2 linked regions of the Anolis sagrei genome follow. The protein of the gene in region 2 interacts with the protein of the main gene of each other region in a pairwise test. Links are inferred from orthologs where the notes say so. Each region holds a gene or a part of one and is shown on either strand. Other genes may lie near its edges. The genes, in order: TRIM55 and USP13.

Evidence for each region.
Region 1: the proteins of USP13 (region 2) and TRIM55 interact in a two-hybrid assay, tested with the Homo sapiens proteins (2 studies listed by BioGRID and IntAct). The link is inferred for Anolis sagrei from reciprocal best matches to the Homo sapiens genes USP13 and TRIM55.

The regions. Positions count from the first base shown.
Region 1 is NC_090024.1:45,668,871-45,684,633, forward strand, and holds the start of TRIM55 (tripartite motif-containing protein 55), read right to left. Parts: upstream 7,419-15,763; 5' UTR 7,273-7,418; coding exon 7,105-7,272; intron 5,870-7,104; coding exon of another isoform or gene 5,865-5,869; coding exon 5,692-5,864; intron 20-5,691; coding exon 1-19. UniProt on the Homo sapiens protein: E3 ubiquitin ligase that plays an important role in regulating cardiac development and contractility, muscle growth, metabolism, and fiber-type differentiation.
Region 2 is NC_090023.1:257,651,804-257,667,283, reverse strand, and holds the start of USP13 (ubiquitin carboxyl-terminal hydrolase 13), read right to left. Parts: upstream 6,950-15,480; 5' UTR 6,791-6,949; coding exon 6,626-6,790; intron 1-6,625. Other genes in the region: NDUFB5 (NADH dehydrogenase [ubiquinone] 1 beta subcomplex subunit 5, mitochondrial), read right to left, coding at 13,802-13,922. UniProt on the Homo sapiens protein: Deubiquitinase that mediates deubiquitination of target proteins such as BECN1, MITF, SKP2 and USP10 and is involved in various processes such as autophagy, endoplasmic reticulum-associated degradation (ERAD), cell cycle progression or DNA damage response.

The sequences.
Region 1 (15,763 bases), on a different chromosome or scaffold from region 2:
TTTTCTTTCCGGCCTGCAACTGCAATTAATGAAGAAGGAAAGCAAGAATTTAATTTCCAATTAGAACCACTTAAAGATCAAATAACATGGTTTATAAGACATTTCCTTGCCAGATGATTTGCTCCTCTAACACACTATCTTCTTTGGCTTCTACATTGCCATATAAAATCCAGATTATCTGTTTTGAACTGGATTACACAGCAGTGTAGATATAACCCATATAACCCAGTTCAAAGCAGATGATGTGGATTATCTGTTTTGATAATCTGGATTATATGGCAGTGTTGAAGGGGCCATAGACTAGGATTTGAGGCTATCTTGTTTGCAATATAGGGCCGTTCCGCACAGACCTCAATCCTGGGAGGAATTGGGATATTATATCTCAGTTCTTCCCAGGATTGAGCCCTCATGGTCACCCCAAACCTCAGGCTTTCCGGGGGGGGGGGGGATTGGCTACAAATCCCCCTGAGTCAAAAAATTATCTGAGGGGCCCGGCTGCATTCTCTGCCCCCTATGCCAAAAGCTCCTGGTGCATCTAAATGATGCGTTGGGCAATGGGGGAGAGACTCCCCTTGCCCCCAACCTCCAAATGCATCATTTTGATGCACCAGAAGCTTTCTCTGGAGGAGCTTGAGCATGCCGCCAGGCCCCTCAGGTAAGTTTTGGAGAGAAATGGGAGACTGAGAGGGGAGGATGCGGGTGCCATGCCCCCAAAACTGGGATTGCTGTGGGGATTGACCCCCTGGATCGTGAAAGTGGTCCCAGGAGTCAATCCCCTCAGGTTCCACACCTGGAAAGATCCAGATCTTACATTAAGATCCAGATCTTTCCAGGTGTTTTATTAATCGGGAGTAAACTGGAAATCCCAGTTTACTCCAGATTAATTTGGGTTTACCTGAGGTGTCATTTTCATGCCTCAGGTAAACCTGGGACAGATCCCACATTCAAGGATCCTCTTGTAATATACTCAATATACTGAAACCATATCCCAAGTATATTACACAGGATTTCTGTTTGTGGCATAGTTCCCTTTCCCAAGGGATTATATTTTAAGCAGGATATCTCAGAAGCTATTTGGAAGAGGGCCAAAAAAGCTTACTAGAGAGAAGAGCTGTTTTTTTGGAACAATGCCTATTCTCTGAAATGCTGAACTGTCTCCATTTGGCTATAACATGGCTTCAACTAAACCAACTAGCTTCTACGACACCTCATAAAATTCACAGGCCTTTCCTGAGCTACAAACCCAATAGATGTTTCTAACTTCAAACTATCTATAAAGCCCTCTCCTCATGAATATCTTCCTAGCTCTCACCCAGCTTTGTGCTTTCAAAGGTCATCGCTTGTTAGGGAAATCAGTTTATTATTGATTCTAAGGCCCCTTCTACACTACCGTATAACTCAAATTATCAAAGCATTTAATCCACATTATCTGCTTTAAACTAGATTATATAAATCTACAGTACCATATAATCCAGTTCAAAGCAGATGATCTGGATTTTATATGGCAGCGTAGAAGGGGCCTAACAAGCGCCCCAGTGAAGGTTCTTGGATGTCAACGGTTATAAGTACAATGTTCCAATATTTTGTGTTCATTCATTTAATTGATACAAATATTATAATTCAGCATCCTGAACAGAAGAAGAGCCCCTATATGATCTCTAATATAGAACATAAGAAGACCACCAAAAGGAGAGAACATTCTCTTTAGAGATGTTTTGTTTTTTTAAAAAATCCTTTAACCTTGGCATGAATTAATCTACCATAGCATTTGGCCAATCATTCACATTCATTTCATTGTTTAATAACTCAATTCATTTCTTAATTCTAAAGTTAGTGCTGAAATTCCAACATTTCAACCCTTTAGTTGAAAAATAAACTAAGGTGATCCTTTCCCTTAGAAAACTTCCAGCTCAGTTGATAATTTAATTGAATGTAAATAGTTGACATCTTTGTGCAAGCATACAAATATGGTTTAATGAAAGGTACAACTTGAGCGTGGTGATGGCGGGAGCAATGAAAACGTGCCTTTTCTAGGACACTCTTTGTCTTGGGGCCAGTCCTGCTCTCTTCATCCCAGCTGCCGCCTTTTGTTTCCCCAACTGCCTCATTTCCCTTCTTTATGCTACTGCAGATGTTATTCTAAAGCTTCACAGAGAGAGGCATCTATGAATTCATCATCTAAGAAGCCCATGGAGACAGCCCCATCCTCAGAGACTGCATATTAACAGCAATTATGGGGGGGGGGGGGAGAGAGAGATAAGACAGGAAGAAGGAAGTGAGCAGCTGGAACCTAGAAGGTGTCAAATGGCATAGATAAGGTTGTGCAGTTCAAGTGCCAATTCTCCTGATAATTAGTTTAGCTTAAGGGACACAAATGAAGGTTAAAATAATCCTTCGACAAATCCTCCTCCCTTTCCCTATCTCAGAACCTTTACTAAATCTAGGAAGGACTGTCTAACTATTTTTGTTCTCCTTTCAATTGCAAGGCCTTTTATTCCCTCAAGGGAAAATACAGTCACATTCCATTTGATTTTTAACAAATCACGAAAACTGTTATAGTAGCTTCAGATATTTCCATGTCAGGGTGAAGCTCAGCTCACATGGATTTCTTCCTTATTTTGTAGCAATATGGAGGTATGTAAAATGTATCTTCACCCCTGGTGACCAGAATACCCTCATGAAAGCTGGAAAGTTAAATAGCCTCTGTGTATCTATCTATATATGTTGTGTGTCTATAGCATTGAATGTTTGCCATGTATATGTACATTGTAATCCGCCCTGAGTCCCCTGTGGGGTGAGAAGGGCAGAATATAAATACTGTAAATAAATAATAAACAAATATTTGTTTAAGTGAAAAAGTATGTATCTCTTAAGAGGAATAAGGAAGGGGCCATTCGTGTTTCCAGTGGCACGGAGTTCCACAGCCTAGGAACAGCTACTGAGAAAACTTCCCTTTGTGTTCAACTACCTCATCATTCCTGATATATCATTGCAACCCTGAAATTGTGAGGAAATGTATAAAATTTTATATTTCAAACTAATTTAAATCGCAGAACCATTACAACTGCAACAATACACTGGAGACGTTTCTGCTGCCATGATGCTAAGCACATTTACTTAGAAAGAAGTACCATTTTATTGTAGAATAGAGAAAAATATGTAAAAAGTAATCCAATAATGAAATGACCTATGGCAGCCATGTATATGTATGGATGTTTGTTCCCAATTAAAAAAAAATATAAAAACAACAGAAACAACTAAAATGCTGCAGTAATCAGTATCAGCACTGATAGGCTGAGTGTACCCAATACAGCCCAGATTTGGATGCCAAGATTCTTTGCTCATGTTCCCATCACCTCCTGCTTGCTCTCTGATTTATCATTCAGGTTTGGTGCTAAGTTTTGGGGCTCTGGGCCTTGTCCCACAAAGTTCAGCCTACCTAAACACCAAGCAGAAGGACTAATCTGTGCCTGAAATCCAGAACTAATAACTTCCAACTTTTCACAGATCAATACCGTGACACATGGCCAAGCAACATCCAAGATTGGTCAAGATAGCAAAAGTTATTGAAGAGAAAGGCCAGCAAGGCTAGGAAAGAAGAGCCTCTCCTAGGTCTAAAATGGTCCGGGGGTTGGAGGGGAGATAACATGTCAAAAGTGCCTCCCATTATTCCTAGAAGAAGTAGTTTTTATCTCAAGGGGCCTGGGTCACACAAAAATAGCCTGGCAGCCAAATGCATCTTGGGGGTTACATTTTCCCACTTCTGGCTATGAACAAGGATTATTTGTGTACTCAACTACATAGATGTATGGCTGCTTCCAGTCGTCTTCCCAAGGGAAACAGAGGTACACCCTCCTTGGTGTCCTTCAGCCAGTAGGCAAAGTCATTTGGGCAGGCTTTTAGCAAATGACTGATTGCCTAGAAGCAGGCTTTTAATGGAAGGGGACCGTATTTTTATTGCGGTTCTTTTAATTGCTTTAAATCCTATTACTTTTTAATATTGCAATGTGTTTGATTGCATTTTTATACTTTTTTGAATTTTTATTTGTATCTTTGAATCTTGTTGTATTTGAACTTCCAGAGATAGATGAGTTACAAATAAAAACAAACCCAAAATATTCATCAGATGTGAAGATTAAATACTGAGGTAAAGCTGAATATTGTTTGATGACAATTAATTCCACAAAGCACACAAAGCTGACATTCTATAGTAAATATCTGTAATAAATATAGAACCTTGTGCAACAGCTACAAATGGATGATAAAACTTCTCATTAAAAAAAGGTAAAGCCAACCAGTTTTACTTCTTGTAAAACAAAGCGTAACTAATATCAGAAGTTCAACAATCAAGAATTATGCATGCGGCGTTCTGTGTGGTCCCTATCTACTTGTACATAATGAAGCCTGTTGATGATGATAACTATAGCCTTTTCCTTTTATATCTAGGTTAGTGTTTCTCAACCTGGGAGAGGAGGTGTCAGAAGGGTCACCAAAGACCATTGGAAAACGCAAATTTCTAATGGTCTTAGGAACCCCTTTGGCTGGGAAGGTTGAAGATCTCACTGCCTGTTTTTCTCTTCCTTTTTGGAAACAAATGGCTGTAGTGGCCGGTCTCTCAGCTAAGGGAAGTGCTGTTCCTGAGACTCCAAGCAGGGTGGGGAGAGCAGACATGCTTGGTACATGGCAGCGTAGTGCAGATGCATGGGCAAGAGAGAGCATGCAAGGGTGGAGGAAGGCTCGCACCAGCAAGTCCCTTCAAGGCAGGTGGGAAGCACCTGTGTGACGTGGGACTGAGAATGGCCCAGCAGCATCAGAGGAGCAGCAGAAACAGCTTCGGTAATTTGTAACGCTATTTAATAGGGAAAAAATCAGTCTTTTGTTTTTTATTAATGCTCCCATTAGAAAATGCATAATTGTTTGTGTCCGCAGTGCTCTATGGATGTAGATGACCTATAACTCCACAACCCAAAGTCAATGCGCACCAAACCTTTCCAGTATTTTCTGTTGGTCATGGGAGTTCTGGTGCCAAGTTTGGTTCAATTCCCTTGTTGTTGGAGTTCAGAATGCTTTTTGATTGCTCTTTGATTTCTGGTGAACTATACATCCCAGCAACTACAACTCCCAAATGACAAAATCAGTCATTTTTGTCAGTATTCAAATCTGGATGTATCAGCTATTTGTGCCAAATTTCTTCCAGTGAATGAAAATACATCCTGCATATCAGATATTTACATTACGATTCATAACAATAGCAAAATTACAGTTATGAAGTAGCAACGAAATTAATTTTATGGTTGGGGGTCACCATAAAATGAGAAACTGTATTAAGGGGTCACAGCATTAGGAAGGTTGAGAACCACTGATCTAGCTGTAGTTATACACTTTCATGCGACAGAGGAAAAAGGGGAGGGAGGAGGAAGAAGAGGGAGAGGAAAGTTGGGATGGGGAAAGAGGCACTGGGTTGCTATGAGTTTCTGGGCTGTATGGCCATGTGACTCTGGACATGAAAACCTTCGACAACAAAAAGAGGCAGTTCAGCAGTAGTTCAGTTCTACAATTCACGTTATTTGAATACCCTATAATTCTCTTTTTGAGGCCTTAAACTATCGTAATTTGTTTCCATGGGAAATGCAACCAATGTAGGAACTGCATCCACAGACATTCCTTCAAGGACAGAAATTGATCTATTACCTGGCAGATTCCTGCTTGTATATATCAATTATGTTTTCCACCAGCAGATTCCTCTGAAGGCCATAGACGCCATGTCTGTCTAGAACAACTTCGTGCCTGCATGACGGACAGCGGAATCGACCTCCTGAAGCCACAGTGGTGCCTCCTCTCATTGGCAGATACGGGTTTGAGGCCTGTTCTTGCCAAGGAGTAAAAAAGATTGTGGAGTCAAGCATGCATTCATTCACAGATATTTCCTGCAACTGCTTTCACTTCCATATTGTAAGATGCATGTCAGACTATCTGCTTAAGAAATGATCACATGCCTTTGTGTTACTCATTGCACTTTAATCACTGTTGGATAAGGCAGAGCTGTCAAAACATTTCATTTTGGTGACACACTTTTTAGACATGAATCATTTCGCGACACAGTAATTCAGTTTTACTGGACAAAGTTTTTAGTAAGGATTTATTAATGACATGTTTTATTGCTGCGGTTATGATTTTATGTATATTAATGTTTTTTAAATTGTACTTATGCTTTGTGGCACTGAGTTTTGTCATGTAAACCGCCTCAAGTCGCTTGAGGGCTGAGAGGAGCACAGTAAATAAATAAATAAATAAATAAATAAATAAATAAATAAATGAACCAGAAGTTAAACCAATCCCTTATAAGAGATTAAAACATACATCAATTGTAATAGTGAAATGCATGGTGACATGTCATCCCATGGAAACCTTTTATTTATATGTCTTCGATATATATTGTTACATTCATGCAAAACATCTACATATTGCAGTTTGGAAAGTCCTGGAATAAGATAATCAAAGATAAACTTACCTTAACCACCAAGGCATAGTCCAAAATGCTATCCAGTAAGTACAAAGGGTACATTGTTTCCATTTTGTTTATGGAAGGTTCGCACCAGCAAGTCCCTTTTGTTTAAGGATTCCAAGTTCATAAGGTAACAACTGGGTTGTTGTGAGTTTTCCAGGTAGTATGGACCTCACAACCTCTGCGGATGCTTGCCATAGATGCAGGCAAAACGTCAGGAGAGAATGCTTCTGGAACATGGCCATACAGCCTGGAAAACTCACAACATCCCAGTGATTCTGGCCATGAAAGCCTTCGACAATACAAAGTAACAACTTCTTGTAGAGATAAACTTTCCATTCTTAGAAGTATTGGGGAAGGACAGGAATGAGTTTATATTTTAATATCTCTACGTACATTAAATAATTATAATTCATTCTAGATCAATAGGGTGGGGAGCATTTCCACATGCAAAGGATCCAGAATCATACAGCAAATAACAAACAAGTGTCTTTTTTCTAATTCATTTTTTTTCTCATCTAGAGAAAACCCTTTTTATTAAACCACCACATCTGATTTTATAATCTGAAAGGTTAAATAATTCCAAAAGGTCAACTTACCTGGAAGATATCGCTGGCACATTTTCGACATAGGTTGTGCTGACAGGGGAGGATCACCACTGGCTTAGAAAACATCTCTAAACATATGGGACAAATAAGCTGTTTCTCTAAGTTATCCATAGTTTCTTGCTCTTTGGAGAAAGACTTGTAATTAAGAGAGGTGCTCATCTCCTAGAGAGTCTGAGGAACATAGGCTCAGAATCAGAATGCGGCCAATGGGTTTCCGGGTTAGGTCCCCTGAAAAAATTCCAATGCTTGTGAGATCAAATGTCCTTTGAGACTCTTTCCCTGGATGACATTGTTTTAATGGGTGGAAGGGAAAGCAGGGAGCTGGGCCTATTTTAGAAGCAGAGCGTCATTGGCTGCCATACTCACTCTCTCCATATATGCATCTGTCACAAGGACAGATTTAGACAGGTGACAGCTCACTGGGGTGAAAGAGCAACATTCTTGTGTCCAAGAGGAATGGGGGGGGGGAGCATAGGGGAGGAGGTGGAGAAATTCAACAGTTGCCGCTGACACATGCACCACTCACTCTTTTGGAAAAGTTGAAATATCATGTTGACCATAGAATACAGCCTGGTTGTTAATATCTTTACATCTCATTGTGGTAAGAAAAAGCAAGGAGCAATTCAATAAGCATACCCTAAATACTCATATATATGTCTAGAAATTTTAGTCAAAAAGTCAGCTCCAAAAATGGTGTCATCTTATCCATGGGTCAATGTAAGTACTGTATATTAATTTTTCAAAAAACTACCACCTACTTCTCTGAATAGAATGGTAAAAGTTAAGAGCTTGGTCCATCCCAGGAAAACCTTAAAGAAGCACTGACCTCTTCTACCCTCTACACTATGGTGCTGCTTCTGGACTTTTTGATTGCCTGCACGGGGAAAATGGTAGTGGCAGTCAAAGGCCCTTTAAGTCAGTCCTAGTGTTTTCTTTTCTCCATGGAATTATTCTCAACTTATCTACATGGGGGGTATCAAAATCCACAATTCTTGCCCTGAAAAATTATGCAGGAGGTTGGCTTATACTCGAATAGATATACGATAGAGTCTTGCTTATTCAACCTTCGCTCATCCTATGTGCTGTATTATTCAAAGCAGTCTGTCTCCACAGCTGTTTCAAAACATTGCAATGTTTTGGTGCTAAATTTGTAAATACAGTAATTACTACATAATGTTACCATGTATTGAACTGCTTTTTCTGTTGATGTTTTGGTGCTTAATTTGTAAAATCATAACATAATTTGATGTTTAATAGGCTTTTCTTTAATCCCTCCTTATTACCCAATATTTTTGCTTATCCAACATTCTGCCAGCCCATTAATGTTGGATAAGTGAGACTCTACTGTAGTACTACTACTTTCTAAAACTAAAGTGGGTCCAAAAGGCAATTTTCTGGTCCTGGAACCCACTCAAATAATGATGGATTGCCAAAGAACAAACCAAAAACACGCAGAAGTAACCAGACATTTGATTATGGCTTTGGGGGATCCCCACCCCCTCCCCCTGCAAAAAAACCCTGTTGAGATGTGTAAGAAAGGCCTTCAACTATTTAATATATGAACTTCTGAAGGCTTCTAGAAGAATAATCTCCCCCCCCCCCCTTTCATGTTTTTTAATCCAGGATGTCTGAAGAGGAAAAGGGCCATAGATGTGGTGCCAGGGGTTATTCAATATGACCTTGACAGATTGGAGATCTGGAGCAAAGCTAATAAAGTGAATCTCAGAAGGGTACTATATCTAGGAAGGAAAAATGTGTAAGATTAATGGGAGAAAAAAACAACACTTGTGAAAATGATCAAACAATTTTAGCAGATTATAACAAACATTATTCAATAGTATAATGCAGTGACTAAAACAAGCAAACAAACAATGGACTGTAGGCTGCATCAAAAGGAATGTAGCGATCAGATCAAGGGAAATAGTGGAGAAATACTTTTTCCAGTTCTGAATAACAGTTCAATAAGGACAAGCTGGAATATGTCCAGAGGAAAACTGCCAATATGGTAAAAGGTCTGCAAATCAAGTGCAATGAGAAATAATTTTGAGATCTAGGTATGTTGAGCCTGGAGCAGAGAAACTTAAGAGGTAATATGATAACCATCTTCAAATATATGGAAGGATGCCATGCAAAAGATGGAATGAACTTTCTTGTTGCTTTTCTAGAGCCTCAGATATGAACTATGGAGTTCAATTACAAGAGAAGATTAGAGATTCCACCTCAATATTAGGATGAACTTGTGTACTGTTCAATGGTAGAATAGATTGGCTTGAAGGATGGTGAACTCTCCTTTTCTGTGGTTTCTAAACATAGTTTGAATGGCTCTCTCTCAGGAATCCTTTAATTGGAATACTTTGTGGTTTCTATATGATTCTGTGTGCTTCCAGGGTTGGACTTTGCCTCTTATTAACCAATTAATTGCATATTTCTAATGTCCAGAACCTACTTTTCTCAAATGGTATATAAGGCTTCAAAAAGTCTCTATCTCTTTTGTAGAAAGAAGTAAGATGTGGAAACAAGTTCCACAATTAGTTGTGTGAACCAGTCTTAGTAGTGGCAGATGGTGTGGCAGATGGAAAGATGCTCCCTTTGTAGAATAGCACTGAGGCAGGAAGCCCCCTATGCTCTCACCAGTGCGCAGTGTGGTAAAATAGCATAAAAGGATGTGGCTCAGTTGGCTTTGTACTCACACATGGCTGACCAGCGGTGTCTATTGCTAGATAATGGTAAGCCAGAGGCCCCATCCTCCTCTTCTGCCTCAAAAAGCCAATTGGCAAATGTTTGCTTCTTTCTTCTCTTGATCTTCTTCCTGTCATGCTGTCACACCTGTAGATAGTGTTGCCATAGAGAAATCATACTTAGCTCTTCAATAATATTCTTCATAAATAAGCTTTCTCTGTAGTTTTTTAAAGGAACAGTTCCAATACACTTAAAAAGAAAAAAAAACCTTTCAGTGTTTTCTAAGTTCAAGTACTTTGGAAAAATAGCGAAGATGCACCATTTTTATTGGCTGAGCAGAGGTGATAATTCTGCCTGGGTTATACGCCCATAGTATAATCCCAATGATTAAGTTCCAGCACTGGGACACTGCTTTGTTTCTGTTTATTGGATGCATGGATCCCTCATAACTTGGCACTTGTTGCAAAGTTATTTTTAAAATGACAATTTCCCAGATCACGTCTGGCATGTGAGGCCTAATCTTAAAGCAAGCCATCTGTGCTGTTACTTGCCAATACTTTATCAGACAACTGTACAAGCAGTATGTATCATGTCTATGAGTTTAAGTGCAACATCTACTTTACTTACTGTAGCAGGCGGTTGTATTCGCATTCATCCTGTACATACCACTTGCACATTGGGTCCATTTTATTTGCTAATAAAATAGCTAGGATAGCTAGCTAGCTAGAGAGAGAGAGAGAGAGAGAGAGTAAGAATATACCTCTCTCTGCTTAGAGACAGCATGGTGAAAAGGCCTGTTCATTATACTAATAGAATTTGTTATTATCTGGCTATCAAGATACAAGGAAAGTTTAAATTTCAGCTCTAAACACAAGGAAGGAGTAACCTTCAAGGGGCAATCTATACTTACAACAAAGTCTATGGGTAATCTATACTTAAAACAAAGTCTGGGCCCAACCAAAGAGCACAGGCTTTATAACTAGTCTTAAAGCTACTTCAAGATCTCTTTTGCACACTGATCCAGACTACATTGCTTTGTCTTTGAATACTATGTGTACATACAATATATGCAAATACAAGTATTCCAAATCAGGAAAAATCCAAAATCCAAAACACTTCTGGTCGCAACCATTTTGGGTAAGGGATACAGCCGCTCTTATGAATTGTGGAAGTTGAAGTCCCATACACCTGGAGGGCAGAAGTTTGCTCATGCCTGGCTGTAGAATATGGACACATCCTCATCAACTCTGGCCTACAAGAAGCACTGCTTGACTATCAAGCAAAAAGTGAGTGCTAGAAACAATATTGTATGAAAGCTGAATAGCACAATCTGGGGAATCACAACCAAACACAGTGAAGACATCTGCCCTTGTGCTTTGCTACTCCGCTGCTGAGTACACATACCCAGCGTAGAACACATCTCACCATGCTAAAACAGTAGATATGGCTCTTAATAAGACATACCACATTATCACAGGATGTCTATGCCCCACACCATGATCAAGGGTCTGGAGAACAAGCCCTATGAGGAGTGGCTTAAAGAGTTGGGTATGTTTAGCCTGAAGAAGAAAAGGATGAGAGGAGACATGATAGCCATGTATAAATATGTGAGAGGAAGTCATAAGCTGTGATGAATGGTGGGAGTTAGACTCCAAACCACCTGCAGGGCCCAAGTTTGCCCATGCACTACTGCATAGTGGAAGTTCTTCCAAATGTTCAGGTGCTGTTTGATTCCATTGCTCTGGTTTGTCCTAGTGTCCAGAGCAGCAGAAAACAAGCTTGTCCCTTCCTCAAGAGGAGACATGCTAGCCATGTATAAATACGTGAGAGGAAGTCATAGAGAAGAGGGAGCAAACTTGTTTTCTGCTGCATTGGACACTAGAACGCGGAACAATGGCTTCAAACTACAAGAGAGGAGATTCCACCTGAACATGAGGAAGAACTTTCTGACTGTGAGAGCCCTTCAGCAGTGGAACTCTCTGCCAAGGAGTGTGGTGAAGGCTTCTTCTTTGGAATCTTTTAAATAGAAGCTGGATGGCCATCTGTTGGGAGTGCTTTGAATTTGATTTTCTTGCTTCTTGGCAGGGGGTTGGACTGGATGGCCCATGATGTCTCTTCCAACTGTATGATTCTACATTATAACTGTACCCTCAATTTGCTTCTGACTCTATAAATAAATAGTCTATTCTTTATTGTAGGGAAGGAACTGCAACCTCCAAACATGGATCTCTTGAGTAACTTTTTATATTGAATCACAGAGTTAAACTACTAAAGTCACAGTAATTTACAAAGCACAAGAGGGAAGCTATTTTCAATCAGAAACTGAAAGTGCAAGTTTGAAAAAAAAATCTCCTTCGAGCCGGAATCGAACCAGCGACCTAAGGATTCCTACAAGGGAAGTTCTCCTCTACAGTCCTCCGCTCTACCAGCTGAGCTATCGAAGGCACACGGCGGAGCTGCTCCCCTTGAGAGATCTAAGCCTCCGGAAGAGACAGGCACTGCCTCTATTGCCCCATGCTATATAGGTGCCTGAACAAAGGTGATAGTTTGGGTATCTGCCTCTCTTGCCAGGTTTGTTTTCATCCTTATATACACGGTGACAAAATCATAGTTTGGGTTTTGGAATTTTAAATATATATATTGGGTTTTCTTGGAGTATTTTCAAGCTTGGGGTTTGCTGACTCTCATGGTTGCCAAACCCATGGACACAGGGGCTGGCTGCACTGTGTGTATTCCTCTTCCAATTTTTTTTGGCAAAGGGTTAAGGCAAGCGAGGGGCCAGTGGCGCAATGGATAACGCGTCTGACTACGGATCAGAAGATTGTAGGTTCGACTCCTGCCTGGCTCGTTTCTTTTACTAACACTTTGAAATCCAAACATTCCAGTACATTCACTGATTCTTCTTGTTCCTTTGCATGTGGAAGAGAGCTGAAGATTTTTTCAAGTATCATTAGAATCAAAGAGTTGGAAGAGACCTCGTGGGCCATCCAGTCCAACCCCAGCCTAGAAGCAGGAAAATTGCATTCAAACCACCCTTGACAGATAGAATCATAGAATCAAAGAGTTGGAAGAGACCTCATGGGCCATCCAGTCCAACCCCCTGCCTAGAAGCAGGAATATTGCATTCAAAGCACCCCTGACAGATGGTCATCCAGCCTCTGTTTTAAAACTTCCAAAGAAGGAGCCTCCACCACACTTCGAGGCAGAGAGTTCCACTTCTGAATGGGCTCTCACAGTCGGGAAGTTCTTCCTAATGTTCAGATGGAATCTCCTTTCTTATAGTTTGAAGCCATTGCTCCGCATCCTAGTCTCCAGGGCAGCAGAAAACAAGCTTGCTCCCTCCTCCCTATGACTTTCTCACATATTTATACATCATGTCTCCTCTCAGCCTTCTCTTCTTCAGGCTAAACATGCCCAGCTCCTTAAGCCGCTTGTCATAGGGCTTGTTCTCCAGACCCTTTATTATTTTAGTCGCCCTCCTCTGGACACATTCCAGCTTGTCAATATCTCTCTTGAATTGTGGTGCCCAAAATTGGACACAGTATTCCAGGTGTGGTCTAACCAAAGCGGAATAGAGGAGTAGCATGACTTCCCTGGATCTAGACACTATGCTCCTATTGATGCAGGCCAAAATCCCATTGGCTTTTTTTGCCGCCACATCACATTGTTGGCTCATGTTTAACTTGTTGTCCACGAGGACCCCAAGATCTTTTCCACATGTACTGCTCTCGAACCACGTGTCCCCCATCCTGTATCTTTGAATTTCATTTTTTTCTGCCTAAGTGGAGTATCTTGCATTTGTCACTGTTGAATTTCACTTTGTTAGTTTAGCTTGGGTTATTTGAAAAAGTCATGTTTTTTTTTAAATTTCCCAAAATGCATAAGGTTGTGGGTGAACTACAACTCACACCATGCCAGGTTAGCCCCCTGAAACTCCATTAGTAGTTAAAGTTTGTCATGTTGAGCAAGTTTGCTCTAGATCAGTGCTTCTCAACCTGTGGGTCCCCAGGTGTTCTTTTTTTGTGTGCCTAAAACTCCCAGAAATCCCAGCCAGTTTACCAGCTGTTGGGATTTCTGGGAGCTGAAGGTCAAAACATCTGGGGACCCACAGATTGAAAACCACTGCTTTAGATGCATCATTGGTGGGGTTTAGTGTGATCTCTGGCTGCAGGATAAACTACAGCTTCCACTATGGTGAGCTAGTCCCCTCAAATCCCTCCAATAGGTTCAGTTAGTCATAGGCATTCTGTAATGCCAAGTTTGGTCCAGATCCATCATCGGTGATGGTCACAGTGTCTCTGGATGTAAGTGAAGTACAACTTCCAGAAATGAAGGCCAGTTTTCCCCAACCCCTAGTATTTTTAGTTGGTCATGGTGGCTCTGTTTGCCAAGTTAGATCTAGGGCCATCGTTCGTGAGGCCCCAAATGCTCTTTGATTGCAAGTGAACTATAAATCCCAGTACCTACAACAGTTATAAAGCAAGGTGAATTTTCCCTCAAACTTCTCCAGTATTTTTCTTTGGTGATGGGGGTTCTATGTGCTAAATGTGGTCCAGCTCCATTGTCAGTGGGGGTCACAGTGCTCTGACTTGATGCAGGGTGAACTACAACTTCCATCACGTGGAGCCAATCCCTCAAATTCCTCCAGTATGTTTACTTACTGATTAGTGCAGAAAGCGTTGAAAAGAGTAGGAGGTTGGTGCTCATCTCCATTTCTAAGCTGAAGAGCCGGCATTGTCCGTAGACACCTCCAAGGTCATGTAGCTGGCATGACTGCATGGAGCGCCATTAGCTTCCCGCCGGAGTGGTACCTATTGCGGAAGTAATTTCGGAACCATTGACAGAAGTCATTTCGGAACCATTGGCAACCATCTTTGAGTGTTCTTGGAGAACAGGAGAAGTTCCAGCAGATTGGAGGAGGGCCAATGTGGTCCCAATCTTCAAGAAGGGAAAAAAGGATGACCCAAATAATTACCGTCCGGTCAGCCTCATGTTGATACCAGGCAAGATTCTGGAAAAGACTGTTAAGGAAGTGGTCTGCAAACACTTAGAAACAAATGCGGTCATTGCTAATAGTCAACATGGATTTATCAAAAACAAGTCATGCCAGACTAATCTGATCTCTTTTTTCAATAGAGCTACAAGCTGGGTAGATGCGGGGAATGCCGTGGATGTGGCGTACCTGGATTTCAGTAAGGCCTTCGACAAGGTCCCCCATGACCTTCTGGCAAGGAAACTAGTCCAATGTGGGCTAGGCAAAACTACGGTGAGGTGGATCTGTAATTGGTTAAATGCACGAACCCAGAGGGTGCTCACCAATGCTTCCTCTTCATCCTGGAAAGAAGTGACGAGCGGAGTGCCGCAGGGTTCTGTCCTGGGCCCGGGCCTGTTCAACATCTTTATTAATGACTTAGATGAAGGGCTAGAAGGCATGATCATCAAGTTTGCAGATGACACCAAATTGGGAGGGATAGCCAATACTCCAGAGGACAGGAGCAGGATTCAAAACGATCTTGACAGATTAGAGAGATGGGCCAAAACTAACAAAATGAAGTTCAACAGGGACAAATGCAAGATACTCCACTTTGGCAGAAAAAATGAAATGCAAAGATACAGAATGGGGGATGCCTGGCTCGAGAGCAGTACGTGTGAAAAAGATCTTGGAGTCCTTGTGGACAACAAGTTAAACATGAGCCAACAATGTGATGTGGCGGCAAAAAAAGCCAAAGGGATTTTGGCCTGCATCAATAGGAGCATAGTGTCTAGATCTAGGGAAGTAATGCTACCCCTCTATTCTGTTTTGGTTAGACCACATCTGGAATATTGTGTCCACTTCTGGGCACCACAATTCAAGAGAGATATTGACAAGCTGGAATGTGTCCAGAGGAGAGCGACTAAAATGATAAAGGGTCTGGAGAACAAGCCCTATGAGGAGCAGCTTAAGGAGCTGGGCATGTTTAGCCTGAAGAAG
Region 2 (15,480 bases):
ATATGGTTTAGAAAGCTTTTTATCCTGGAACTCAATAGTTTTTAATTTCCGAATCTGCCTTAATTATGTGTTGTTGAACATGTCAGATGACACAGAGAAGCCATTGAAATCCACAAGCACGTGGGCAATTTCCAAAGAAAAGAGGAAACCATGAAAATGAACAAAATCTGGCTACCAGTATTTAAAAACTCTAATATTAGGACAGTAAATAAAGAGCAAGACTTAAAAAACAAGGGAATTCCAGACAAGAATCAATCAAGGTCAGCTAACATCCCCAGGCAGCAATCCGCCAGGCTTTGAAGCTACAATGTTATTTAAGAGGCCAATTGTGACATTCATGCTTTCCTCTAGCAGACAAGTATTTTTCTTCCACCCTGGGCATTCCAAAGATATATAAACCCCACTTGCCAAGTTTCCAAAAGACCTCACAATCTCTGAGGATGCCTGCCATTGGTGTGGGCGAAATGTTGGGAGAGAATGCTTCTGGAACATGGCCAGACAGCCCGGAAAACTCACAACAACCCAATTATTCTGGCCATGAACAAAATCTAGCTACGAGTATTTTAAAAATTCCAAAATCAGAACAGGAAATAAAGAGCAACACTAAAAAAAAAAAACAGGGGAATTCCAGACAAGAATCATAAAATCATAGAATCAAAGAGTTGAAAGAGACCTCACGGGCCATCCAGTCCAACCCCCTGCCAAGAAGCAGGAATATTGCATTCAAATCACCACCGACAGATGGCCATCCAGCCTCTGTTTAAAAGCTTCCAAAGAAGGAGCCTCCACCACACTCCGGGGCAGAGAGTTCCACTGCTGAACGGCTCTCACAGTCAGGAAGTTCTTCCTCATGTTCAGATGGAATCTCCTCTCTTGTAGTTTGAAGCCATTGTTCCGTGTCCTAGTCTCCAAGGAAGCAGAAAACAAGCTTGCTCCCTCTTCCCTGTGGCTTCCTCTCACATATTTATACATGGCTATCATATCTCCTCTCAGCCTTCTCTTCTTCAGGCTAAACATGCCCAGATCCTTAAGCCGCTCCTCATAGGGCTTGTTCTGCAGACCCTTGATCATTTTAGTCGCCCTCCTCTGGACACATTCCAGCTTGTCAATATCTCTCTTGAATTGTGGTGCCCAGAATTGGATACAATATTCCAGGTGTGGTCTAACCAAAGCAGAATAGAGGGAGAGCATGACTTCCCTAAATCTAGACACTAGATCAATCAGGGCCAGCTTATTTATTTATTATTTATCGTGTTAGGAGCAAACCAAAACAGTTGTATTGCATTAAAGCAAACAAACAAACAAACGAAACACAAAGTTTGCAGGCTTGATATTCTACGAAGGGCCAGCTAACACCTCCCAATAAAGGATTTCCCCAGGCTGCAACCAGCCCGACTTTGAAGCTGCAAGGCCATTCAATGCTAGTCAAGGTGGCCAATTGTAACATGAGGTTCTTGTGGGGTTTTTCGGGCTATATGACCATGTTCTAGAGGCATTTTCTCCTGGTGTTTTGCCTGCATCTATGGCAAGCATCCTCAGAGGTAGTGAGGTCTTCTCATTACTTTCTTTTCAAGAAAAGAAAAGAAAAAGAAAGTAATGAGAAAAAGAAAAAGAAAAAGAAAGTAATAAGAAGACCTCACTACCTCTGAGGATGCTTGCCATAGATGCAGGCGAAACGTCAGGAGAAAATGCCTCTAGAACATGGCCATATCGCCCGAAAAAACCCACAAGAACCTAGTGATTCCAGCCATGAAAGCCTTCGACAATAAATTGTAACATTCACACCTGCCTCACGCAGACATGAGTTCTTTCTCTCACCCTGGACATTATTCCACAGATATATATAAACCCCGCTTGCCTAGTTTCCAACAGACCTCACAACCTCTGAGGATGCTTGCCATTGGTGTGGGCGAAACGTGGGGAGAGAATGCTTCTGGAACATGGCCACACAGCCCAGAGAACTCACAGCAAAAGCACTCAAGAGATAAACCCCACTTGCCTAGTTTCCAACAGACCTCACAACCTCTGAGGATGCTTGCCACTGGTGTGGGCGAAACGTGGGGAGAGAATGCTTCTGGAACATGGTCAGACAGCCCGGAAAACTCACAGCAAAAGCACTAAAGAGATAAACCCCACTTGCCTAGTTTCCAACAGACCTCACAACCTCTGAGGATGCTTGCCATTGCTGTGGGCAAAACGTGGGGAGAGAATGCTTCTGGAACATGGCCAGACAGCCCAGAAAACTCACAGCAAAAGCACTAAAGAGATAAACCCCACTTGCCTAGTTTCCAACAGACCTCACAACCTCTGAGGATGCTTGCCATTGCTGTGGGCGAAACGTGGGGAGAGAATGCTTCTAGAACATGGCCAGACAGCCCAGAAAACGCACAGCAAAAGCACTAAAGAGATAAACCCCACTTGCCTAGTTTCCAACAGACCTCACAACCTCTGAGGATGCTTGCCATTGGTGTGGGCGAAACGTGGGGAGAGAATGCTTCTGGAACATGGCCAGACAGCCCAGAAAACTCACAGCAAAAGCACTAAAGAGATAAACCCCACTTGCCTAGTTTCCAACAGACCTCACAACCTCTGAGGATGCTTGCCATTGCTGTGGGCAAAACGTGGGAAGAGAATGCTTCTAGAACATGGCCACACAGCCCAGAAAACTCACAGCAAAAGCACTAAAGAGATAAACCCCACTTGCCTAGTTTCCAACAGACCTCACAACCTCTGAGGATGCTTGCCATTGGTGTGGGCGAAACGTGGAGAGAGAATGCTTCTGGAACATGGCCACACAGCCCAGAGAACTCACAGCAAAAGCACCCAAGAGATAAACCCCACTTGCCTAGTTTCCAACAGACCTCACAACCTCTGAGGATGCTTGCCACTGGTGTGGGCGAAACGTGGGGAGAGAATGCTTCTGGAACATGGTCAGACAGCCCGGAAAACTCACAGCAAAAGCACTAAAGAGATAAACCCCACTTGCCTAGTTTCCAACAGACCTCACAACCTCTGAGGATGCTTGCCATTGCTGTGGGCAAAACGTGGGGAGAGAATGCTTCTGGAACATGGCCAGACAGCCCAGAAAACTCACAGCAAAAGCACTAAAGAGATAAACCCCACTTGCCTAGTTTCCAACAGACCTCACAACCTCTGAGGATGCTTGCCATTGCTGTGGGCGAAACGTGGGGAGAGAATGCTTCTAGAACATGGCCAGACAGCCCAGAAAACGCACAGCAAAAGCACTAAAGAGATAAACCCCACTTGCCTAGTTTCCAACAGACCTCACAACCTCTGAGGATGCTTGCCATTGGTGTGGGCGAAACGTGGGGAGAGAATGCTTCTGGAACATGGCCAGACAGCCCAGAAAACTCACAGCAAAAGCACTAAAGAGATAAACCCCACTTGCCTAGTTTCCAACAGACCTCACAACCTCTGAGGATGCTTGCCATTGCTGTGGGCGAAACGTGGGGAGAGAATGCTTCTGGAACATGGCCAGACAGCCCAGAAAACTCACAGCAAAAGCACTAAAGAGATAAACCCCACTTGCCTAGTTTCCAACAGACCTCACAACCTCTGAGGATGCTTGCCATTGCTGTGGGCGAAACGTGGGGAGAGAATGCTTCTAGAACATGGCCAGACAGCCCAGAAAACGCACAGCAAAAGCACTAAAGAGATAAACCCCACTTGCCTAGTTTCCAACAGACCTCACAACCTCTGAGGATGCTTGCCATTGGTGTGGGCGAAACGTGGGGAGAGAATGCTTCTGGAACATGGCCAGACAGCCCAGAAACCTCACAGCAAAAGCACTAAAGAGATAAACCCCACTTGCCTAGTTTCCAACAGACCTCACAACCTCTGAGGATGCTTGCCATTGCTGTGGGCAAAACGTGGGAAGAGAATGCTTCTAGAACATGGCCACACAGCCCAGAAAACTCACAGCAAAAGCACTAAAGAGATAAACCCCACTTGCCTAGTTTCCAACAGACCTCACAACCTCTGAGGATGCTTGCCATTCGTGTGGGCGAAACGTGGGGAGAGAATGCTTCTGGAACATGGCCAGACAGCCCAGAAAACTCACAGCAAAAGCACTAAAGAGATAAACCCCACTTGCCTAGTTTCCAACAGACCTCACAACCTCTGAGGATGCTTGCCATTGCTGTGGGCAAAACGTGGGAAGAGAATGCTTCTAGAACATGGCCACACAGCCCAGAAAACTCACAGCAAAAGCACTAAAGAGATAAACCCCACTTGCCTAGTTTCCAACAGACCTCACAACCTCTGAGGATGCTTGCCATTCGTGTGGGCGAAACGTGGGGAGAGAATGCTTCTAGAACATGGCCAGACAGCCCAGAAAACGCACAGCAAAAGCACTAAAGAGATAAACCCCACTTGCCTAGTTTCCAACAGACCTCACAACCTCTGAGGATGCTTGCCATTGGTGTGGGCGAAACGTGGGGAGAGAATGCTTCTGGAACATGGCCAGACAGCCCAGAAAACTCACAGCAAAAGCACTAAAGAGATAAACCCCACTTGCCTAGTTTCCAACAGACCTCACAACCTCTGAGGATGCTTGCCATTGCTGTGGGCGAAACGTGGGGAGAGAATGCTTCTGGAACATGGCCAGACAGCCCAGAAAACTCACAGCAAAAGCACTAAAGAGATAAACCCCACTTGCCTAGTTTCCAACAGACCTCACAACCTCTGAGGATGCTTGCCATTGCTGTGGGCGAAACGTGGGGAGAGAATGCTTCTAGAACATGGCCAGACAGCCCAGAAAACGCACAGCAAAAGCACTAAAGAGATAAACCCCACTTGCCTAGTTTCCAACAGACCTCACAACCTCTGAGGATGCTTGCCATTGGTGTGGGCGAAACGTGGGGAGAGAATGCTTCTGGAACATGGCCAGACAGCCCAGAAAACTCACAGCAAAAGCACTAAAGAGATAAACCCCACTTGCCTAGTTTCCAACAGACCTCACAACCTCTGAGGATGCTTGCCATTGCTGTGGGCAAAACGTGGGAAGAGAATGCTTCTAGAACATGGCCACACAGCCCAGAAAACTCACAGCAAAAGCACTAAAGAGATAAACCCCACTTGCCTAGTTTCCAACAGACCTCACAACCTCTGAGGATGCTTGCCATTGGTGTGGGCGAAACGTGGGGAGAGAATGCTTCTGGAACATGGCCAGACAGCCCAGAAAACTCACAGCAAAAGCACTAAAGAGATAAACCCCACTTGCCTAGTTTCCAACAGACCTCACAACCTCTGAGGATGCTTGCCATTGCTGTGGGCAAAACGTGGGAAGAGAATGCTTCTAGAACATGGCCACACAGCCCAGAAAACTCACAGCAAAAGCACTAAAGAGATAAACCCCACTTGCCTAGTTTCCAACAGACCTCACAACCTCTGAGGATGCTTGCCATTCGTGTGGGCGAAACGTGGGGAGAGAATGCTTCTGGAACATGGCCAGACAGCCCGGAAAACTCACAGCAAAAGCACTAAAGAGATAAACCCCACTTGCCTAGTTTCCAACAGACCTCACAACCTCTGAGGATGCTTGCCATTGGTGTGGGTGAAACGTGGGGAGAGAATGCTTCTGGAACATGGCCAGACAGCCCAGAAAACTCACAGCAAAAGCACTAAAGAGATAAACCCCACTTGCCTAGTTTCCAACAGAACTCACAACCTCTGAGGATGCTTGCCATTGGCGTGGGCGAAACGTGGGGAGAGAATGCTTCTAGAACATGGCCACACAGCCCAGAAAACTCACAGCAAAAGCACTCAAGAGATAAACCCCACTTGCCTAGTTTCCAACAGACCTCACAACCTCTGAGGATGCTTGCCATTGGTGTGGGCGAAACGTGGGGAGAGAATGCTTCTGGAACATGGCCAGACAGCCCAGAAAACTCACAGCAAAAGCACTAAAGAGATAAACCCCACTTGCCTAGTTTCCAACAGACCTCACAACCTCTGAGGATGCTTGCCATTGCTGTGGGCAAAACGTGGGGAGAGAATGCTTCTGGAACATGACCAGACAGCCCAGAAAACTCACAGCAAAAGCACTAAAGAAATAAACCCCACTTGCCTAGTTTCCAACAGACCTCACAACCTCTGAGGATGCTTGCCATTGGAGTGGGCGAAACGTGGGGAGAGAATGCTTCTGGATCATGGCCAGACAGCCCGAAGAACTCACAGCAAGAGCACTCAAGAGATAAACCCCACTTGCCTAGTTTCCAACAGACCTCACAACCTCTGAGGATGCTTGCCATTGGTGTGGGCGAAACGTGGGGAGAGAATGCTTCTGGAACATGGCCAGACAGCCCGGAAAACTCACAGCAAAAGCACTAAAGAGAACATGCAAAGCCAAGGAAAGAAAAGCTAAATGTGGTGAGACCCATGTGCAAGGGATCTCTCTGCAGAAATCTTTCCCAGACCCCAAACACTTCTCAAAAGCCAATTAGGAGAGACAGTCCTAGGAGAAAGTACCATGCGACCCCCTGGAAAGGGGAATGGGTGGCCCCGCCAAGGCCTGGAAGCAAGTGTCAAGGGAGGGAGGGGGTCTCTGGAAAAAGGCAAGGGACCCACAGCCCAAAGGAGGCAAGGAAGGGAGGAAGGGACTCACCGGCGAGTCGTAGGAGAAGGCGCACTCGGCCTTGTAGACGCGGTCCCCGGTCTTGGGCACCCGGACGGTGGGCATGTAGGGCACCAGGAGCTCGCCCACGTCCCCCGCGATCTCCGGGCCCACCGCTGCCTCCCGCCCGGACCCCAACAGTGCCGCCCGCTCCATCGCCCCACAGAGACAGAGAGAGAGAGAGAGAAAGCCCTCCTGGCCGGACGAGAAGCAGGAGGAGGAGGAGGAGGGAGGGAGGCTATCTTTAACCCGGCGGAAGACGGAGGGAGCCGCAGCTGCCCAGAGAGAAGCGCCAAGGCTCCTCCAGCCACGCCCTCGGAGCCTGCCTCCTGGCCCCCGAGGGAGGAGGAAGGGAGAGGCACTCTGCACATGCTCAGAGGAAGCCTCGCCAGTCACTCCCAGGCTCATTCCTGGGGAAGGGTGCGTTCCTGGGCAACCAGAGTTGGAAGAGACCTCATGAGCCTATGGACTGATAGGAATTGTGAGAATTGAAGTCCAAAACACCTGGAGGGCCTAAGTTTGCCCATGCCTGCTTGATATTCATATTCCTACTAACATTTATTCGTTTGAAGGTCCAATGAGGTCAATTGTATTTATCCCTGAAGCTTGTTTCCCAATGTTACTGGTTCACACACATCCAGAGGTAAGGTTCTGTATTGAGATCAAACTGTGTTCAGTCTTGACTTCAAAGCACCATCCATTGACTACAGATCCCTCCCTTTATTCTCATTGTGGGCAGTCCAGATCAAGACTCTGTATCTGGAGTAAAGAATTTGGCGGGGGGGGGGGGGGGGTCTTCTTTCATTTTCTTTTAACTTGCCATCAGAGGCGGCCCTAGGCAATTTTCAATGGTAAGCGAACAGTATTTTGGCGCCCCATCCTCCAACCAATCATTGATATATATATTTTCTGTTCATCGTGGGAGTTCTGTGTGCCATATTTGGTTCAGTTCCATCATTGGTGGAGTTCAGAATGCTCTTTGATTGTAGGTGAACTCTACACAGGGGCGGCTCAACCCATTACGCAAAGTAAGCATTTGCAGTATAGTCGATTTTGCCCAGGGGCGCTCTTGAGGCACTCTTGGGGGAAAATAGACCTTGACATATGCAAGTTGTAGTTACTGGGATGTATAGTTCACCTAAAATCAAAGAGCAGTTGTAGTTACTGGGATGTATAGTTCACCTAAAATCTAAAATCAAATTGAAGAGCATTCTGGTGGAATTCCAATGATGGAATTGAACCAAATATGGCACAACCAAATCCCATGACGAGCAGAAAATATATATCAATGATTGGTTTGGGGGGGGGGGGCACCAAAATACTGTTTGCTTACCATTGAAAATTACCTACGGCTGCTTCTGACTATACATCCCAGTAACTACAACTCGCATATGTCAAGGTCTATTTCCCCCCAAGAGCGCCTCAAGATCACCCCTGGGCAAAATCAACTATACTGCGAATGCTTGCTTTGCGTAATGGGTTGAACCGCCCCTGCTTGCCATCAAACTCGGATCACATCAGATACCCCTGCAAATTCAAAATCGATGCTATTTGCATGCTGGCCCTTTATTTTTGCTATGCAATCTCATGGGCCCAGGGATTCAAACTCACATTATGCACTCGTTGATTCCTATAGAAAGAAGTAAAATCAATGTCGGTCTCAGTAGTCACCTGAGGGCTGAGAAAAGCGGTATATAAATGAAGTAAATAAATAAATAAATAGTCTGCGTCAAAAGCATTCACTGTGACCAGGAGAGTTCCACAATCTCATCTATCCTGTAAAGATTATTTATTTCTCACAATTCCTCACAAAACAAGAACTTACAGACAGGGATATACATATGGAGCATAGAATCCTAGAGTTGGAAGAGACCTCATGGGCCATCTGGTCCAACCCACTGCCAAAATGCAGGAAAATTGCATTCAAAGCACCACCAACAGATGGCCATCCAGCCTCTGTTTAAAAGCCTCCAAAGAAGGAGCCTCTACCACACTCCAGGGCAGAGAGTTCCACTGCTGAACAGCTCTTACAGTAAGGAAGTTCTTCCTCATGTTCAGGTGGAATCTCCTCTCTTGTAGTTTGAAGCCATTGTTCCATATCCTAGTCTCCAGGGCAGCAGAAAACAAGCTTGCTCCCTCCTACCTATGACTTCCCCTCACATATTGAACTATGGCCTTCATCATGTCTCCTCTCAGCCTTCTGCAGGTTAAACATGCCCAGCTCTTGAAGCCGCTCCTCATAGGGCTTGTTCTCCAGACCCTTTTATTTTAGTCACCCTCCTCTGGACACATTCCAGCTTGTCAATATCTCTCTTCAATTGTGGTGCCCAGAATTGGACACAGTGTGATTCCAGGTGTGGTGTGACCAAGGCAGAATAGAGCATGGGTAGCATGACTTCCCTGCATCTAGACACTATACTCCTATTGATGCAGGCCAAAATCATCATTGGCTTTTTTGCTGCTGCATCACATTGTTGGCTTATCGGAGTCTACAAGCTAACCATGCCTTGTCAGATTGCCCATCCCACAACAGGGGATTCAGTTTGGAGGGTTCTGGGAATGGCAGTCGGAGAAGACACCCCCCACCCCAATGTTAGCCCCAGTTTCTGCCAACCAAGCAGTTCGAAAACTTATAAATGTGATTAGATCAATAGGTACCACTTCTGCTGGAAGGTAATGGAGCTCCATGCAATCATGTTGGCCACATGACCTTGGAGGTGTCTACGGACAATGCCAGCTTAGAAATGGAGATGAGCACCACCCCCCAGAGTCGGACACAGCTAGACTTAATGTCAGGGGAAAGCTTTACCTTTTCCTCTTGAGGCTGAGAGAATGTGACCTCCCCATGATCACCCAATGGATTTCATTCAATGCTAAAACAACTCCATCACACTCCTCCCAAAATAAATAAGCACGCTTGCTCACAGAACGACAAAGCACAGCAGGAGAGGTATTTGAGATATGATACTGAAAAGAAATATTGTAGTTCTGTCCACCTTTTCATTTTTCTTTTGAATTAGAAAATTCTGAATCTCATGCTGGAAAGCCAACCCTATGGCACAAGGGCAAGGCCATGTGGTACTTATGGGCATCATCAATGTCATCTCCTTCCTTTATGGGCCGTTCACTTGCAGCAGAAAGTGAGATGCCAGGAGGGAAGAGTAGGCCTCAAAGAGACATTTTGCTAAGAAGAAAATGTGATAAAGCAGACAATAGGGACAATGAGAGAAAAATATCAGAAATGGCAGCTGTCACGTTGAATAGGAGTTACTGTTAATGCCAGAAGGATGGCTCAGGTACCTGTTTGGTATCTGAACCTTACATGAACCAGCCTTCCTTCTTGTGCTGGGCTTTTTTCTCCCTGCTTGAGAACCATGAGACTTCAGCTGGCATTTTCAGAATGGGAAATGCTGGAAGTTGTAGTTTCTAAATGTACAGTGATCCCACCATATTTGCTGAGATTGGGGAACAGGGCCCCCAGGAAAGTAAAAAACCAACAAAACATGAATATTTGGGTTTTTAAAAAACTTGAGTAGACATCTCCCTAGCAAGCCCTCCAGTTCATAGAATCATAGAATCGAAGAGTTGGAAGAGACCTCATGGGCCATCCAGTCCAACCCCCTGCCAAGAAGCAGGAATATTGCATTCAAATCACCCCTGAGAGATGCCGCCACATCACATTGTTGGCTCATGTTTAACTTGTTGTCCCCCATTCTGTATCTTTGCATCTCGTTTTTCCTGCCAAAGTGGAGTATCTTACATTTGTCCCTGTTGAACTTCATTTTGTTAGTTTTGGCCCATCTCTCTAATCTGTCAAGATCGTTTTGAATCCTGCTCCTGTCCTCTGGAGTATTGGCTATCCCTCCCAATTTGGTGTCATCTGCAAACTTCCTAATGTTTAGGTGGCATCTCTTCTGCTGATGTTTGAATCCATTGCTTTGTGTCCTAGGGCCCTTCCAGACAAGCCCTATATCCCAGGATCTGATCCCAGGTTTTCTGCTTTAAACTGGATTATATGAGTCCACACTGCCAGATAATCTGGGATAAACAGAAATCCTGGGATCAGATCCTGGGATACAGGGCCTGTCTGGAAAGGCCCTTTGTCTCAAGAGCAGCAGAAAATAAGTTTTTCCCCTTCAAATATTGTAACATGGATCTCTTGTCCCTTCTCAACCTTTTCTCCAAACTAAACATTCCCAGTTCCCTAAACTGCTCCTCACAGGACTTGTCTTCCAGAACTTTTGCCACTTTGGTTGCCTTTCTCTGGACACGTTCCGGCTTGTTCCTTCTGAAATTGCGGTGCCCAGAACTGGACACAAAGTTGTTCCAGGAGAGGTCTGAGATTTGTAATTTAAAATTCCATAGAATGCATCCGTGAAAATGGAATTGCAGTGCAATGGATGTAGTGTCAAAGGACACTCAGTACCAAGTCAGTTCTGCTTTTTCTAACATCCAGATGCTCATAAATTCTGATCAGAACAATGAACTGAAACAAAATACTCTTCCATTTCTAGAGGATGTGCCAAATATTGCTTTTTATTTCTTCCATATTTAGATTGTACAGCTTGATACATTCTGAACTGAAGTTCTATTCATCGCTAAATAAGAATAGGTGGCCTTTGAGGTTGAATAAATGCTGCCCTCTAATGGTTTGAATAATTTCCACATCCACTTTTGGGGGGAAAACAGGTGTAGGTTGAGTATCCCTTATTTGAATTACCTGGACCAGAAATAATCTGTATTTCAGTTTGCATATTTATTTATTTACAGTATTTATGTATGTGTTTGTTTGTTTATTTAGAACATTTGTATCCCGTCCTATTCACGACCTCCGAATAGGGACTCAGGGTGGCTTCCAACAATATAAAAACACCAATAAAATACACAATTACATAAAATGGTAATAAATATACATTTAAAAACGGTTTGCCAAGTTTAAAGCGTGCTCCAAACCAGTCCAAAAAATGTGGTCCATACAATCTCATCTAAGCCAATTAAAACCATCTATTCTGCGAATGCTTGCTCCCACAGCCACATCTTAAATGTCTTGCGAAAAGTCAGGAGGGAGGGGGCAGATCTAACCTCTTTAGGGAGAGTTACACAGCTGAGGGGCCACCACGGAGAAGGCCCTGTCTTTCATCCCCACCAAACATGACTGCGATGGTGGCAGGACTGAGAGCAGGGCCTCCCCAGATGATCTTAAAGTCCTTGATGGTTCATAGGGTGAGACCCCTTTGGACAGGTAAAGTGGGCCAGAGCCATTTAGGTCTTTATAGGTCAAAACCAGCACTTTGAATTGTGCTCGGAAGCTAATAGGCAGCCAGTGGAGCTGGTGTAACAAGGGCGTTGTGCGCTCCCTGTACTCCGCTCCCGTAAGTAACTGGCTGCCGTGCATTGTACTAGCTGAAGCTTCCAAGCAGTCTTCAGAGGCAACCCCACATAGAGCGCATTGCAGTAGTTTATTTGGGATGTAACAAGAGCGTGGACCACCGTGGCCAAGTCAGACCTCCCAAGATACGGGCACAGATCCCCCCCCCCCAAGGGGACTCAGAGTGGATCACAGAAGACATGTACTGCAAACATTCAATGCTGATTATATAATGACAAGACAGACAATAGATAGAGGTATATATTTTTAGGCTTTTTCTCATCATTCAGCGTCTTTTGGAGGCTGTGCTCGGTTCCGGCCACAGAGGAGTGCTGTTGCTCCATCTCCTTGCCGACGAGCTTTCTTTGTTCATAAACTTTCCTTCAAAACAGTGCCTAAAATACCTCCCCATTTAATGCGGTTCCTATTCATCTACTCACGTTGATGTTTTTGATCCATTGGGTGGGCGGGGGAGCTGAGCTAAAGGTTGAGAGCTCACCCTGACCTAGCTTCGAACTGTCAACCTTTCAGTTTGCAAGATTTACTGCAGCTGGTAATTAACCTGCTGTGCTAAAGCAAGACCTTTATATACATAAACATATCTGTTTATATACATAAACAGATATAGTGGAATCATAAAATCATAGAGTTGGATGGAGACCTCATGGGCCATCCAGTCCAACCCCCTGCCAAGAAGTAAGAAAATCACATTAAGCACCCCCGACAGGCGGTCATCCAACCTCTGCCTAAAAGCCTCCAAAGAAGGAGCCACCACCTCAGTCTGGGGCAGAGAGTTCCACTGCTGAACAGCTCTCATAGTCAGGAAGTTCTTCCAAATGTTCTAGTGGAATCTCCTTTCCTGTAGTTTGAAGCCATTGTTCTGCATCTTAGTCTCCAGGGCAGCAGAAAACAAGCTTGCTCCCTCCTCCCTATAACTTCCCCTGACATATTGATACATGGCCCTCATCATGTCTCCTCTCAGCCTTCTCTTCTGAAGGCTAAACATGCCCAGCTCATTAAGCTGCTCCTCATAGGGCTTGTTCTCCAGATCCTTGATCATTTTAGTTGCCCTTCTCTGGACACATTCTACCTTGTCAACATCTCCCTTCAATTGTGGTGCCCAGAATTGGACAGTGTGATTCCAGGTGTGGTCTGACCAAGGCAGAATAGAGGGGTAGCATGACTTCCCTAAATCTAGATACTAGACTCCTATTTATGCAGGCCAAACTCCCTTTGTTTTGTTTTTTTTTTTTTTGCCACCACATGACATTGTTGGCTCATGTTCATCTTCCTCTCCACAAAGACTCCAAGATCTTTTTCATACGTCCTGTTGTCGAACCAGGCATCCTCCCCCATTCTGTATCTTTACATTTCCTTTTTTTCTGCCTAAGTGGAGTATCTTACATTTGTCGCTGTTGAACTTCATTTTGTTAGTTTTGGCCATTAATCACTCTAAATTGTTTTCACGCCATTTGGAGATGGAGTAAAAGTCTTAACATGAAATTTGTTGATGTTTTTTCTGCAGAAGATGATGGTACTTTAAGCTACTGTTTTAAACGTGCTGTGCATGAAACAAAGTTATGTACTTGCAGCAACTATCACAAAGTAAATGCATCAGTATCTCAGCCACCCATTTCATACATCATACGTTTTGAATATGCATGGTCAAGACTGCGTTGTATTTGAAACATTACAGCAGGTTTCTGAATCAGAAATATTTATTGAAATTATATATATCTATATTACATTAATTCAGACGCTGTCTGCGGATTCACACTTGGATCAAGAGATGAACAATCTTAGTTATCGGGCGTTGATTTAGGAGAATAGTCAATCAGGCTTGTGCCAGTGGTTTCATAGTGAAACCATGGTCCATCGCCTCTTTCTCGCATGAGGCGGCGGGCTTCCTTTTGTTTCTTCCTGTTAAAGAACAAGAAAGTGAAAATGAGAAAATGGAAAGGAAGACTACATATTAGTTGCAAATTTAGGTAGCCCTTAATTTGCATGTGGGCCTTCCACCCAAAACAGGCTAAAAATAAAAATCTTCATTAAAACGTGATATACAAGCCAGACAATTAAAAATAGTATAAGAACAATTGGTCAAGCACTCAAGTAATTAGCCATCCTTTAAACAACAGACTAATATAGTTGCCAAAACCAAATTGGATTATGTTGTCTATTACTCAAACCAAAGTCCTATCAAATATAAGGTAAAGTAAAGGTAAAGGTTTCCCCTTGACGTTAAGTATAGTCATGTCCGACTCTGGGGAGGTGGTGCTCATCTCCATTTCTAAGTTGTAGAGCCGGCGTTGTCTATAGACGCCTCCAAGGTCATGTGGATGGCATGACTGCATGGAGCGCCGTGTGGAGCCTCCGGTGGCGCAGTGGGTTAAACCCTTGTGCCGGCAGGACTGAAGACTGACAGATCACAGGTTCGAATCCGGGGAGAGCACGGATGTGCTCCCTCTGTCAGCTCCAGCTCCTCCTGAGGGGACATGAGAGAAGCCTCCCACAAGGATGAGAAAACATCAAAAACATCCGGGTGTCCCCTGGGCAACGTCCTTGCAGACAGCCAATTCTCTCACACCAGAAGCGACTTGCAGTTTCTCAAGTCATTCCTGACACCACAAAAAAAATGGAGCACCGTTACCTTCCTGCTGAGGAGGTACCTATTGATCTACTCACATTTGCATGTTTTTGAACTGCTAGGTTGGCAGGAGCTGGGGCTAACAGCAGGAGCTTACCCCGCTCCCTGGATTCAAACCACCAACCTTTTGGTCAGCAAGCTCAGCAGCTCAGTGGTTTAACCCACTGTGCCACTGGGGGGGGGGGGTATCAAATATAAACAGGGGAACAGTTGAGATAGATCTGACAGGCAGACATTACAGCTCATATGCTATTTAACGTAAGCTTATCTAACAAAAGCTAGTTGACAATGTCTAAGTTTTCCACATGATCTCACACAATGAAGCACACGGGAAAAGGCTAGTATATACAGGAAGACTACGAGTTACATACAACTTGTATTTAAGAACAAGGGTGAGACAACAGGAAGCGAAAGAAATCTACCTCTCAGAAGGGAAATTCACTTCTGAAAGAGTTATCAGGGGGGAAACATGTCTCCTCTGAAGCTGTATCTCCAATCCTTGCTTCCACAACAAGCCAAATTTTTCAAAATCCAATTCTCACAGTGACAGAAAGTGAGGGGAAATCTTCTGAACAGGGGCACAGACAGCAAAACAAACACTACAGAGGTGTTATAACCCTTTCCTATACTATCCAAAGCATGCATGCATATATATTTATATGGCTGGTGTTGCACTTTTAAAAATGTAACTGTTCCAACTTACATAAAAATTCAACTTAAGAACAAACCTACAGAATCTATCTTGTTTGTAACTTGAGGATTGCCTGTTGTTTAATGGTTGACATTAACACAAAACTTTTATATCCCTCCACCATCTCCCGTAGAAACTCA